2 linked regions of the Drosophila melanogaster genome follow. The protein of the gene in region 2 interacts with the protein of the main gene of each other region in a pairwise test. Each region holds a gene or a part of one and is shown on either strand. Other genes may lie near its edges.

Region 1 (3,226 bases), on a different chromosome or scaffold from region 2:
GTAGCCAAAAAAAAAAAATAAGAGGAAATACATATCACATACACCAGTTACACCAGTAACTATTTTGACAAAATAGCCTGCTTCTTTTAAAACTTACTTGCGCTTGACATTAACAAACAGAGCGAAACGATGAGCATTTGCATTGCTCATGAATGATGAATGAACATTTAGCACACCAAATGCAAATTTGTTTACGGCTTACCCATTGCATTCCCTTTCTACTTACAAGAATGCACGCAGACAACCATTTACTAAATGGTATCCTGCTTTTGAGCTTTAATATATTGGTTATTATTATTTTTTTTTTTTTGGTTATTAAACGTTATTAAAAACAAAAAAAATAATTAATAGGTATGTGTAAAAAGTTAAGTTTGTTTATTAGATTAATGGATTAATGGTAGCACAATTTAACGTTGGAATTAAAGTAAAAAAAACATTGCGAAAGAGTTTAATTTGTCACGCCATTCTGTGTATTATCAAATTAAAAAGTTTTGAAAAATTTAAAAAGAACTAAACCTAGGCGCAAAACAACATTCGCTGACGACAGAATCCTTATACGGGAATTTAAAAAAATCCTCTTCCAAAACACCAATCTCAGTGGTATCTGACCACCAGCCTTCCGAAAAGAGAGGAAGGATCCAGAGATCCTTTACAATTTGGTGGATTCAGTAAAGGACCGACTTCAAAAAGTTATTTATGCCAAAGGTGGATATATATTTTATTAATTGGTTCCCTACTCCTAAGCTCCAGCTTCAATTAAACTTATTTACTGAGGTGTTAAAGGCTTGTCAAAAACTTTAAGCCAATACAAAAAATCATCATATTTCATTAAATTGTTTATATATTTTTAAGTTTCGTTAGTTAATTTTTAAATTTATGTTACTTACACACAACAACAAAAATCATTGTTGTCATATCAAAATATTTTAAAGTTTTACTGCGTTTATATTGTCAAAATACTTATGCCGACTAGTGTACATAAGCATATACATAGATGTATCGTCACATTATATTGAGTTTTGAGTAAAGCACTAATAAGTGGTAAGTGGTAATATAGCCCCAAGAGGATTTTTTTACTATCGACATATAGTAAGAATGCACTGAATTCATGTTAAGTAAGTCATTTCTGTAGTATTAACAACTTAAAGATTTATATAATAGACTTTCCAGAATTTCTTACGATTTCTCTTTCCTTAGTTGTTTTCAACTTTACGTGTTTGCAAATTTGACTTTCATTAAAGCCTAACGGAACCACTTGTTCAAACATCCTTATTCTTAGGTAATTCACACTCTTGTCAAAGACACGATTGATGGTTTATAAACATCAAGTCCACTGACGCCTGGCCACAAAGTTCATCACATATGGATGGAGCGCAAATATTTAGCTAGATAATGGCTCACGGAACTTGCTGATTCCTTTATGTAAGATCCATAAAGCAATCCAAACAGCTGGTAGAAATTATTCGTACTTTACTACCATAAGGTAAAAGCATTGTTAAGTTCTGAACTGAAATAGTTTTAGATGCAATTGATTTTAAGACGCATTTATCCAGCATTCAATTTTATAAAACTTTATTTTCAAATATGTGTAATAGTACCATTTCAATATGAATAATTTATTAAATTCAGAAAAAATAGAGAAGAGTATATATTTTTTATAGACTCATTAACAAAGCTTTGTAACCAACAATTTTGGAAATAAACCTAAACATGAATCAACCATTGTCTACAAACTCATATTCTTTCCATCTGACAGAACCCCAGAGTGAAGGCCAATGTCAATTGCGAAGTGACTGACTTGGAAAGTGGAATTTACAAATCCACACTGACGTTAGTTTGCTCAACGCGCAAACGTCACCGATGGAACACATGTGCCACCGAGACTTTTAGCAGACGGTGGGTATATATACCGATGCCAAGTAATGCCGAGATCAGTTCGAGTCGTTAACTATCAGATAACGAAATGCGTACCCTTATCCTTGTTACTCTTGTTGCCCTGGTCGCAGTGGCCTCCGCCCAAGGACCTGGTCCTTGGGGTCCCGGTGGACCTGGTGGACCTGGTGGACCAGGTCGTGGTCGCGGAGGACCAGGACGTGGACCTGGCGGACCAGGTGGCCCAGGAGGTCGCGGACCTGGAGGACCTGGAGGACCAGGAGGCCCAGGAGGCCCAGGAGGACCAGGAGGACCAGGAGGCCCAGGAGGACCAGGATGCCCAGGAGGACCAGGTGGACCAGGAGGCCCCAAACCATGGGGACCTCCATCCAACCAAACCACATCCACGACAACTGAGGCCTCAACAAGCACTTCCACCACGACAGCTTCGTCCACTACAGTGTCCTCCACTACAGAGTCCTCTACGGAATCCTCGACGGAATCATCCACAGCATCCTCCACAGAATAAATCGCTTGACATGTTCCCCTTCGAGTTTTGCCCATTCGGCTATTCCGGGTTCATAAATAATTGTATATATCAAAAAGCGAATCTGTGCGTAATAAATTTTTTTTTTTAGCTCAATCGTGATTTTTTTATCTAAGTTAATCCTTGAATGCCAAATAGTTATCCAAAGGATCTTCATCCATGTTTGGCTTATGATCAACTTGATGTATCAAGCCAGAAGGTACATGCGAGTACCACGCGAGCCATTTAATTACTTCGGCCAATACTAAAACTTTTCGTGAGTTAAGTAATTTTAGAACAATTAGTTAAATGGCATTATGCAATGCCAGTGCTAAATTATCCACTGGCGATTAGGAAGTGCATTGAGAATTTGAAGCAAATCATTCCCCGGGCCAATTGGAATCGAACTTATTCGAGCCGGCCTCGTTTCTCGCTTGGGTGAAAGCCAAATTGTTTACCAATTAAGTGCATTTGGTCAATTTGCGACAGAACTGGCGCTAGTGGAATCCAAGAAGAAGGTACAGAAGCTTAAAAGGATGAGCCCGAGGAGCAGCAACTGGATTAGGAGGCATTAAAAGTTATAAAACAACAAGATTATGGCTTTGCCATAACGAACACACACGCATTCACTCAACTGGTTATGTGCCAGTGAACAAAGGCGTTTAGGGTGTCCTCTAATAAATACTCTTGTTTTCAGGATGTGTTTCCAGGTCTACGGTTTCTTATAAAAAGAAATTTGAAAAAAAAAAACACTTTAATGTATGTGTATGAGTAACGTGCTATTTCTCAGTTCTGGTTACTTTAGATATTGAATATAAGCCACTCCAA
Region 2 (3,936 bases):
TTTATGCCAACAAGAGATAGAAAGTGAATATTTTTTAATTTATTTTCATTTTTGTTTTTTCACTTTGTTTAGATCTTTTTCGCAGTGCAGCTGGCTGATTTATTTTTTGTGGCTCTTTGGCCGGCTAGCCACAATGTCTGGTATGGCCAATCAAGTGTCGTTGTGTGTGTGCAACTGCGTGTGTGTGTGTGTGTCTATGTTGCATGACCGCGGGCCCGTTTAACCAAATGCAATTTTAATGACGTGACCAGCTACTAAAAAAAAAGCCCAATCGCTGCGAGCTGGCTGTCGCTGGCTTTTGTTTTTCCTATTTATCTGCCGCCGACTAAGTGGGCAGTTCGTGGGCAGCATGGGCCATTTGAGCATTTGAGCATTTGGGCATTTGGGCATTTGGTATTGTCCACAGATTTTGGCCAGCTTTATTTGTTAGTCAGCCTTTTGTAATCGGCGGGGCATTAAGTCTGCTGTGCGACATCGGCCACATGAGTTGTATTAGCGGAAGTGTTGGAAATAAATCATGCTTCGCATCCACGCACACAAAGCGGCGCACACACAAATGCACAATTTTCATCGACATCGATGGGGCATCGCAAAGACGCCGACGAACTGCCTCCGCCCAGCACCCCACAAGCCGGCGATCCCTAGGCACCCAGCATCCGAACATCCGGGCGAGCGAATCCACATCCACGCATCCATGGATCCCCTGCCCGCCGCACCGCACCACCAGAACACCCAATTTTCCACAGATGAATTAAATGCATTTTAAACACACATGCAACAACAGATGGGGTCAAATTAATAGCAGTGTACGCCGCATATGTATCTTCAAGATTGATAAACAAACGCACTGTGTACTTTTTCGTAGATCAATCATTCGATTCATGATGTAACTGTCTTATAATTACAAAACTCTTTCTATATTCCAGTGAATACAAAACTATCTAATACATTTTAAATGCATCTTGGCTGTATTTTAAATATAACTCCAAAGTTTGTAGACAAGCTTCAAAATTATTTTAAACATTTGTTTTAGATATTCGCACCTCTGTTTTTTTTTTCAAGTTCCATAAACATTTCCGTTCCAAATTCTCATTAACATAATTTATTTTCAAGACAACCGAATGTTTCAACCACAAAAATGTCTTTTTGGTAACTAAATGTCGCAAAGATATAAATTTTGACCAAAAAACATAATTAATTAGGGGATTTTTCTATAGGCGCTACGAAACAGAAGTATTTTTTTTTTTTTTTTTGAGAATCTTGCATGATTCATGGGAAATATGCAACATAAAATCGTTCACACTATATTTTAGTTTTTGTGCGTTTTTTTAATTGCTATTATTTTGACTGCATGTGTAGAATAGCATGCGTGCAGATCCAAATACATCTGCGTTCTCATGGGTATTTGTGGCTATGCGAACGCGGATTGTTTTCATGAATGAAACATTTTTTATTCCATTTATCACTTGGCACCATGTCTCCTTCAGCTGCACTTCGATTAGCGACTTGGCAGCATTTTTGTTTCGGTTTAAGAACTATAAACCGACGCACTTTGCATATAAACACGGCTAACTGGCCCATACATTATTTGGCTTTTATGACTCGAATATTGAACTGTCAACCGTTTAGCGTTAATTTTACCCAACGATTACCTAGTTGACACCACTGGATCGCTCGAGTTTCCTTCTTTTTTTTTCGAAAATGTTTCAAAATCCGTTTTGCGCACACATATTGAAGCAGTTTTTATTTTTACATTGGAGAACCACGTCGGATGTCGGATGTCGCCTCGCAAACTCCGCGTAAACAACCCGATCCCGTCCAGGCCCAATCGTTCCGTATCCCGTATTCCGTTCCGTTTCGTTCAGATCCAATCCGATCCGATCCGATCCAACCGACGTCTTCTCGAGAACTGAGACTGAGCGAAGCAAAACGCCAACGCTCCGCGGCGAGCTGAAAAACGTCGCGTTTGCCGTTGACTTTTCCACACACATGTTGGCCGTGCACAGTGGTCTGGAACCGAGTGAAAAATGTGCGGATCGCTTTGAAAATCCCAGGGGGACGCACAAATGCTTCCACGATTTCTGCGAATTGCGAATGCAGGCAAAGGTGCTAGTACACCGAGAAAAACTCAAACGAAGTCTGTTCTACTCTAGTACAGAAAAAATATTTTTTAATTTTACATTAATCATTGATCTTCAAAATGCTAAAAATAATGTTTTAGTTTAGTTACTCGACTATCTGCTTGGATGAACTTGTTAATCCCGATCAAGGATCAAAAACAGCTTCTTTTACGTCTTTCGTTGGAATCGATTTCTCGTGCAAAAGATAAAACATAACTGATAAAAATTCAGTATGGAAATAAGTAAACATGTTCATGTAATTTGAAAATAATTACAATTTAAACAAAGCAAAAAAATAAAAGTATTTAGATATGAACATATGTATAATTACATTGTTAACTGGCGAAATTGCTAAATCGATTAGTATTTTGATAATGTCATCAAATACAATTAACATAAATAACAATAAGTTTTTAGTACCATGTTGTCAAAGCTAGTTACAAGTATTCTCTGCGTCGCAGTTGGCATTCTCGTCATTGATTTAAATGTAAAAACAAAAGAGTTGTTAAGTAGTATAAAATAGTTACATAATGTAACCTTCACAGGATGCCGTCGTCTTCAAGTTTACGAACTTCGCCTGTCTAAGTCGCAATCAATCCTGGTTTGTGTTCCACAATTGTCGTCTGAAGGCGGTCAGTCGTGAGAAGGTCTTACTCAACTTTAATGGAACGGTTCTACATCCGGCCAATAACATAATAGTTCACGTCAAGCTGTTTAAAAAGGCCAACGGTTTTAAGCCTTGGTTATTAGACGTAAAACTCGATGCTTGTCGCTTTGTGCGGACCAACTTCCATCCGTTTGTACGCATTATATTCGATCTCTTCAAAGATTTCTCCACCATAAACCACACGTGCCCATATGTGGTAAGTATTTTAAAATTAATAACTCAACATTTAATTTGGTATCACAACATTGCATTACCACAGGGCCTGCAAGTCGTAAAGGATTTCTATCTCAGGCCCGAGAAATTGAAGCTGCCATTTCCATCTGGAGACTATTTGCTATCTTTAATATGGATATTCGACAAAAGGCCACAGTTCGATACGAATGTTTCTTTTGTTTATGCAGAGGATCTCATAAACGCATAATCATCGAAACTAGAGATCGACTAACAGATACCCATTACTGAGCTTGTGAAATTTGAAATGAATAAAATCAAAATATTTGCGGGCCCGGTTAATTTGAGAAACTTTTTTTGAAATATTTTCGATGGACAATTATTGAAACTAATCCCTTTAAAAAAAAAATACCCTTCCATGCTGATTATTTGCAAAAAAACCAAATAAGGCACAATTATTTTCACTGCACAGCTATTGTACTTCCAATGGCAGTAAACCGAATGTTACACTCCATGGACGTTCAAATGAGCCAAACTTTCCCAAAGAAGCACTTCACAATTCGCAATTAAATTTAATATTTTTAACGATCGCAAAGTAAATGCATACAGCAGAAATACATATATATGCACAAGGGAATTTCTATATCATTAAACTTAGGATTTTTGCTATGTACATTCAGTTTGGCGTGTTGATTTGAGTACGGCTTAGTGGTAACAGTGCCAGGCGGCCACCCGCTGACCTGGCGGGGATTCCCGGATGAGTCGCATCTGCTCGGAGCCCGTATCCCCCGCCTGATCTCCGCCGACTATGACGGTGCCGAGCACCAGTTTCTTGCCCATCTTCTTGGTGGCCAATGTGATGCGCAGCACGATGTCCTCCAACTGATCGAGTCTCTGGAGCGGTATATCTATCGTACCCTCACCGGATCCATCGTCCCACTTGGTGGACAGCGAGGGAAAGAAAATGGGGGACTTCCA

What was found.
Region 1: the proteins of CG10663 (region 2) and lcs interact in a two-hybrid assay, tested with the Drosophila melanogaster proteins (one large-scale study listed by BioGRID).

Annotation. Positions count from the first base shown.
Region 1 is NC_004354.4:21,396,018-21,399,243, reverse strand, and holds lcs (la costa), read left to right. Parts: upstream 1-1,927; 5' UTR 1,928-1,963; coding exon 1,964-2,401; 3' UTR 2,402-2,517; downstream 2,518-3,226.
Region 2 is NT_037436.4:12,483,149-12,487,084, forward strand, and holds the start of CG10663 (uncharacterized protein), read right to left. Parts: upstream 1,888-3,936; 5' UTR 1,653-1,887; intron 1-1,652. Other genes in the region: CG33725 (uncharacterized protein), read left to right, coding at 2,542-2,607, 2,666-2,983, 3,047-3,208; CG10660 (uncharacterized protein), read right to left, coding at 3,664-3,936.